Linked DNA regions of Ovis aries. The protein of the gene in region 2 purifies or fractionates together with the protein of the main gene of each other region. This does not show direct contact. Links are inferred from orthologs where the notes say so. Each region holds a gene or a part of one and is shown on either strand. Other genes may lie near its edges.

Region 1 (3,917 bases), on a different chromosome or scaffold from region 2:
TTAAAAATAGATTGTCCATTATCTATGACTTCCCTGGTGGCTCAGATGGTAAAGCATCTGCCTACAATGCCGGAAAGCCAGGTTGGGAAGATCCTCTGGAGAAGGAAATGGCAACCCACTCCAGTACTCTTGCCTGGAAAATCCCACGGATGGAGGGGCGTGGTGGTCTACAGTCCATAGGGTCCGTTATCTAGTCTGAAGGTAAGAATAGTTAGGACATCGTCCCTTGGCGTGAAACAGCTTATGAATAACTGAACTGCAGTGGGGTGTGTGTGTGTGTGTCACACATAATATGTGCTTTAAAAATCTTTTCATTACTATTATTATTTTATTGTTTAGGCTTCCCAGGTGGCGCACTGATTAAGTATCCGCCTGCTAATCCAGGAGACACAAGAGACGCTGGTTCTATCCCTGGGTGAGGAAAGATCCCCTGGAGAAGGAAATGACAACTCACTCCCATATTCCTGCCTGGAAACTTCCAGAGACAAGAGGAACCTGGCGGGCTACAGCCCATAGGTTCGCAAAGAGTCGAACACGACTGAGCGACTAAGCACGCAGACTAGAAGAGGGGTGGAGAGAGAAATGAAAGTGATCTGTAAACCATAAAAGTGCTTAAAAAATCCTCCCAAAACCCTAGGGGATGAAAACAGTGAGGAATCTCAGGAGTTTGGTTTACGGATCTGGGTTTCAAGGTTGTCGAATTCTCCATATTTGGGCCTAAGTTCTCAGAATAGACCAGGATAGGATGTTAGGGCTGAGATCATCTGGTACAATTTTATGCTAATCGAAAAATTCTTGCCTTCTGTCGCCGTGCCCTGACAATAAACAACACCGCCACCCCAGATTCTCTCATCCAAGTCCCAACGGCATGACGTCATCGCTCCGCCCCGCAAACTCCAGGGCGTCGCGTCTCTAAGCTACCTTTCAGCCGCCAGCTCCGGCGGCGCCTGCGCAAATGCGGAGCGGGTCGAGCCGGGGCGGTCGCGAGCGCGTCGCGAGGGGGCGGGGCTAGTGCGCACGCAGCTTCATCCCGTCCCCGCCCTTTCTCTTCCCGGTTTCCCTGTCAGCCTGCGGGTCGGGTCTGGCGGCTGTTTCCGGTAGGAGCGCGGTGCAGGTCGAGTCGCTGTCTGCTCCTCGTCATGTCCTACGGTCCCTTAGACATGTACCGGAACCCGGGGGCCTCGGGGCCCCCGCTCCGGGACTTCAACAGCATCATCCAGACGTGCAGCGGCAACATCCAGCGGATCAGCCAAGCCAGTGAGCCGGGGTACCGCGGCGGCTGAGGGGGGCGGGGGCCGTCCTGACGAGGCTGCCGGGACGGCGGAGCCCAGCCGGGGCTACTGCCAAAGCCACACCTGAGGCCGTCTCGGGCGCTCCGCTCTGGACACGGTGGGCTGCCATCCCCTAATCTGCCAGGCCCAGGCACCCTGCGGGTCCGGCGCCTCAACTGAAGCTCGAGTTTCTTCTCAGGAGTTCTGCCCTTAAGGTGTTTTGGGGCTAAGACAGCAGTTCTGACAGCCCCAGGGTGGGAGGGTGTGTTTGCTCCAGAGCAGTGAGTGAGTCGACCTGATGCAGCGGTCAGCCGAGTTTTTCCTGTCATCTGCTTCCCTCCACCCACTTCTCTTTGACCAGTTTGGATCGGGAGTTGTTTACTGGTTTAGACTTTACATTCCGCTCAGCTTCTGGCTTCTTGAAAGTCAGCTGCTTTCAATTAAGCAGAGTGGAGAATGCATGTGTTTTGGTGACTTTAATACAATTCTTCCTGTAATGTTTGGAAGTCAGTTACAATGATTTGTATTCAAGGGGTCAGATGACTTCTATTTTAATAAAAGAGAATTCACCAAAGACACTTCAGTTTACAGTATTTTGTCTTTTGTAGCAGAAGATTTGCGTGTTTTTGGATTTCAAGCTGATGAGTCTTTTGTTTTCCTTCCCCATCTAGTTACTCTTTTGAACAAGCATGATACACAGAGAAGCTCAGGGACATGGCCACAATCACATAGCAAGTAAGACATGGTAGAATTGGTGGTGGATTTCAGAATGTCATTGCTTGTCTTAAAACTGCTTCCCCACTGTTAGGGTCTAAATGAGACTGTAGATGAGTTAAATCTTGTGCCTGAAGATCAGCTCAGAGACTTATAAACAGGAGGTCAGCAGCAGCAGCAACTACTTGGAAGGAATGGTATCATCATCCTTGTTGTTTATTATTGTGTTTTTGTGAGCTTGGCTGTACCTTGTTAATAGGTAGAACTAGTTGGTCCTGAATCACAATTGTGTTCTATATTTTAAAGAAAAATACCACTTAGCTTTTAAATTTAATATGTAATGTAGAATTTGAGAGAGGGAAAGTTTCTGATGGAAATCATTTGAGTCTTGGCGCCTTGGAAGTGGAAAGAAGACTATGTCATCTGTGAAATCCAGAAATTTGAAACAAAAATTTATATGACCACTGGTGGGATTGTCCTGGTGGTCCAGGGAATTTAAGACTCCATGCTTCCACTGCATGGGGCACAGGTTCAAACCCTGGTTGGGGAACTAAGATCCCATATGCTGCACGGTGCAGCCAAAATATAAAAATATTTTTTAAATATATGACCACTGGTTAGGAAGTATAGTACTTTGTGTTCCAGTTTCCTTTTGTGAGGGAGCTGTAATACAGGCTAGATCAGAAAATTCTGATTCAAAGTCAAAAATTTGTTGTTGAGACCAAATCTAATTTTAATGTCTCTTTGTGAAATGTTCAGTCTGTATGCATTTATTTGAGTATCATGCATGTACTGTGTATAAGAACTGGCAGGGAGCCTTTGGCATACATAGGAACTGAAAGGATTTGGTGCTATAGAAGAGATATAATAAAGTTATAGGTAGTCAGGAGAGACATCTTTTTCATGTGGGAGGGACCAGGGAAGGCATTATGGCATTTGAGTTAGGTCTGGCTGGAAAGATGGTGGAAAGGATTTGAACTTTTTACAGTAAATAGGAGAAGGGCATTTAAGGAGGGAATTAAATGAACAAGGCATGGTAGGGGAAAGCATGTGCTGTGTATAGAAAAGTAGAGTTGTTTAATTTGGCTAGCGTGGTGGATTCTAGAACGTAGTGCAAAGTAGACTTGGAAAGTTTAAGCTGGGACCCAGATATGAAGGGCTTTAAGTGCTAACCTAATGGGTTTGGATTTAATTCTGTAGAAATGTGTAAATCGAGTTGGAAGGGAGAGACTGGAATCGGAGATACCAGTTAGGAACTGAAAATGAAAAGAAAGAAAGAATAGGAGAGGTGTCTTTGGCGATAGAATTCATAAGATTTAGCTCTTGGTTAGGCATCAGGCTCAAGTAATAGTTGGATTCAGCCATTAATAACATTAACAGCTAACATTTTTGGTGCATATTGTGTGCCAGGCGATATAAGTGCTTTACAGGCATTATCTAACTTGATTTTGTAACAACCCTTTGAAGTAATTACCAGTATTATTTCTTTTTATGGGTTAGGAAACAGGCTAAGAAATTTGAAACCAGATCTGTCTCTTATGACCAACATTTAGCTTTCTTAAAATTTTTAATTAATATTACAGTTTTGTAGCAGTTAACACTTCAGCAGGTGAGAAGTGACTTTTTTTTTTTTTTTGAACTCTTCGTAGGAAGCTATGGGGAATACCTGAGCTGTGGAACTTTCTCCCCTTGTGGTCTGTCTACCTCTCCTGCTAGATTGTTAGTGCCTTTGAAGAAATGAGACATGACTTATTCATCTTTATATTTCTAGTACTTACCTCAGATCTATCCATATGATAGATTCACTCATTTGCTGTTCAACAGATATTCTTTGAGCACCTGCTATGCACTGGGGATGGAGTGACGAGCAAGATAGACAAAACCCTGCCCTGTTAGTGGGTGTATATATATGTGTGTATGAATGTGTGTATA
Region 2 (3,817 bases):
GTTCAAAAGCAGTAATTCTTCAGTGCTCAGCTTTCTTCACAGTCCAACTCTCACATCCATACGTGACCACTGGAAAAACCATAGCCTTGACTAGACGGACTTTTGTTGGCAAAGTAATGTCTCTGCTTTTCAATATACTATCTAGGTTGATCATAACTTTCCTTCCAAGGAGTCAGCGTCTTTCAATTTCATGGCTGCAGTCACCATCTGCAGTGATTTTGGAGCCCCAAAATTAAAGTCTGACACTGTTTCCCCATCTATTTGCCATGAAGTGATGGGACCAGATGCCATGATCTTCGTTTTCTGAATGTTGAGCTTTAAGCCAACTTTTTCACTCTCCTCTTTCACTTTCATCAAGAGGCTTTTTAGTTCCTCTTCACTTTCTGCCATAAAGGTGGTGTCATCTGTATATCTGAGGTTATTGATATTTCTCCTGGCAATCTTGATTCCAGCTTGTGCTTTTTCCAGCCCAGTGTTTCTCATGATGTACTCTGCATATAAGTTAAATAAGCAGGGTGACAATATAGAGCCTTGACGTACTCCTTTTCCTATTTGGAACCAGTCTGTTGTTCCATGTCCAGTTCTAACTGTTGCTTGTGCTTTAGACCTGGTGCATTCACTGTCCGAGTCCTGGGATGTCTTTTTACCATTATCCTACAATGACCTCCTTAAATGGAATCACTTATTTCCAGGATTTACTGTCTTCTACTTTCTTAGTTTATCCTCTCATTATGTTGACCATGTTCTTTAGTAGCTTCCTCAGAAAGAATAAGAAGTAAATTTTATGGACTTTACACATCTCAAAAGAGTTTCTATTCTACTCATATTCTTTTTTTTTCCAATTTTATTTATTTCATTTTTGGCTGCACTAGGCCTTTGTTGCTTTGCATGGGCTTTCTCTGGTTGTGGTGGACTAATGCTGCTCTTCATTGCAGCGCGTGGGCTTCTCATTGTGGTAGCTTCTCTTGTTGCAGAGCACAGCCTCTAGGCACACAGGCTCAGTAGTTGCAGCTAGCAAGCCCTAGAGCATGGGCTCAGTGGTTGTGGCGCGTGAGCTTAGTTGCTCCACATGTGGAATCCTCCTGGACTAGGGATCAAACCCATGTCTCCTGCATTGGCAGGCAGATTCCCATCCCCCGGGCCCCAGGGAAGTCCCTATTCTACTCATATTCTTGATTCATTGTTTAGCTAAAAATCAGAATTGTAGGTTGAAAATAATTTTCTCATTTTTTAAGGCATTGTTTCCAGTACTGCTCTTTAAGTCCAGTACCAATTAAAATTTTCTGTCCTTCGTAAATGATGGGCTTCCCTTGTGGCTCAGCTGGTAAAGAATCCACCTGCAATTCGGGAGACCTGGGCTCAGTCCCTGGGTTGGGAAAATCCCCTGGAGAAGGGAAAGGCTACCCACTCCAGTATTCTGGCCTGGAAAATTCCATGGACGGTATAAGTTCATGGGGTCACCGAGAGTCAGACATGACTGAGCAACTTTCACTTTTCGTAAATGATGTTTTTTCCCTCTGGAATCTTTTAGAATCATCCCTTTTCCCCTGTGTTTTTGTTTGTATTTAATCTCACCATGATGAGGTTGACATGCATCATTTTTAGTCTGTTTGATGGGCTCTTACAATCTGAAAACTTATCTTTAGATCTGAGAAATTTTCTTACATTTATCATTTTCTTCCCTCCTCCTTCTTGATCTTCTTTTAAAAAATGTATGCAATTTATATTTGTCAAATATACCTAAATAAAGCAGGGAAGAAAAAGAATTCACCTAAAATACAACTACTACATTGGTTAATAATTTGGTGTGCTTCCATATTTTTCTCTCTGTAGCTCTTCATATCTGTGTAAAATGATTTTAAAAATATTAATATATTCATTTAAAAAGGCAGGTACATGTATAGTCATGCGTTTAGAAAAAGTGGAATGATATTAACCTTAGCAGGTTAGTTTGTGCCATCACCTAACTTATCCATGACTTAAAGCAGTAAGTTGTGACAGGGTCATATGGGTAAGTGTTAACCCATAAAAAGGGAAGGGGGTTTGCTTGTAGAGTGCTAGTTATAGACACTGCAGTGGGGTTCCTCTTCTTGACTAAGGATAAGAACTAGGAGGTCGAAATATATGATGGTCTAGGGAGCTGCCCTACTGTAGCCAGTTACTGAACGGTGGAACAACAACATGCATTTTTCCTGGTTCCTTTTATCTTTCAGTTTATATTTTTTTGAAGTGTAGTTCCTGTTGTTCAATTGCTAAGTCTTGTCTGACTCTTCATGACCCCATGGACTGCAGCATGCCAGGCCTCCTTGTCCCCCACTGTCTCCTGGAGTTTGCCCAAATTCATGTCCATTGCATCAGTGATGCCATCCAACCATCTCATCCTCTGTCAACCTCTTCTCCTTTTGCCTTGAAGCTTTCCCGGCATTGGGGTCTTTTCCAGTGAGTTGGCTTCTCACATCAGGTGGCCAAAGTATTGGAGTTTCATTTGTCCTTCCAATTAATATTCAGGGTTGATTTCCTTTAGGATTAACTGGATTGATGTTCTTGCAGTTCACTAGACTTTTAAGAGTCTTCTCCAGCACGCTTCGAAAACATCAGTTCTTTGGCACTTAGCCTTCTTTATGGTCCATCTCTCAAATCCATACATGGCTACTGCAAAACCATAGCTTTCACTGTATGGACCTTTGTCGGCAAAGTGATATCTCTGCTCTTTAATACACTGTCTAGTTGGTTCTCAAATAGAATTTTGGAATATAATCTTTTCATAAATTAAGGGCTGGTTGTATATAAATATTTTGTGATATACTACACATTTGGTTCTATTTTTATAATTGTAATTCCTTACTTCCCTCTCAAAGAGTTTTTCCTGATTAAGGATATTTTGGTAGCTGGCCCCTTTTAAAACCATTTTAAGAAGCTTTTGTAATGTATGATTTGTCAGTTGTGTTATTTCATTTGTTACTTTGAATTAAAAAAACAAAACAAAACAGGAAATGGTCCACTGCCTTGTCCAAAACAATATCAGAAGATAGCATTGGGGATAAAGTGATCAGAGAAAGAACAGTGGGAAGACGACTTGGGAATTCTTTTCATGTTCCTTCCCAGGTGCTTTTCAAAGCTGGTGTCGTTCACCTTCACCATAGTTTTCTGTTCATGTTTATGAGTACGATGAATCCATGCACGATTGTCTTAAATGTCAATTGATGAGCTTCTCTTTTTCTCCCTTGCAGCATTGCTATGGCAACAAAAGAAAATATGACTTCACAGAGAGGAATGTTGAAATCAATTCAGAGTAAAATGAACACTTTGGCTAGTATCCTTTTTGACGGTTTGAAATCTGTTTTTAGGGGGGAAAATCTCTGTGTGCTTCACCACTCTCTCCCTCCCCTGGGCAGATTGCCGTCAGTAGTGACAGTAGAGGTCATGTGTAATTCTGTATTGTGAATATGCCCTGCACTTGTACTTTGTGAAAGTTCATACTGTTTAGTGCCATTTCTAAAAGATAGCACACCAGAAGTTTCATACTAGTAGATCTCGAAAAAAAATGATAAATATAATTTCCAAGTTATTCACAAAACTATTTTGCATCTTAATAGCTCTTGAATCCACGTTAGAAGTCTACAGTGTACACTGTTTTTACACAGAGGTCATAAATTTTGTGCTTTTTCTTCTTTCTTTTTTCATTTTGGAGAATTAAGTCAGTGGCGTATGCTTAGAAAGGGAAGGAAGTAGCCATACATGTAAGTGCTGATCACTGCTGATTTCCATATTTTCATTTTGCACAAGCTGAACTCTAGTATAGATTTGCTGCTTGTTT

The links.
Region 1: the proteins of GOSR1 (region 2) and STX12 purify together in Homo sapiens (affinity purification with mass spectrometry; 3 studies listed by BioGRID and IntAct, counting the BioPlex papers as one, with this or other methods). This does not show direct contact. The link is inferred for Ovis aries from reciprocal best matches to the Homo sapiens genes GOSR1 and STX12.

What each region holds. Positions count from the first base shown.
Region 1 is NC_056055.1:239,318,916-239,322,832, reverse strand, and holds the start of STX12 (syntaxin-12), read left to right. Parts: upstream 1-1,045; 5' UTR 1,046-1,139; coding exon 1,140-1,257; intron 1,258-1,945; exon of another isoform or gene 1,946-1,960; coding exon of another isoform or gene 1,961-2,006; intron 2,007-3,917. UniProt on the Homo sapiens protein: SNARE promoting fusion of transport vesicles with target membranes. Together with SNARE STX6, promotes movement of vesicles from endosomes to the cell membrane, and may therefore function in the endocytic recycling pathway.
Region 2 is NC_056064.1:21,501,737-21,505,553, forward strand, and holds part of GOSR1 (Golgi SNAP receptor complex member 1), read left to right. Parts: intron 1-3,230; coding exon 3,231-3,444; 3' UTR 3,445-3,817. UniProt on the Homo sapiens protein: Involved in transport from the ER to the Golgi apparatus as well as in intra-Golgi transport. It belongs to a super-family of proteins called t-SNAREs or soluble NSF (N-ethylmaleimide-sensitive factor) attachment protein receptor.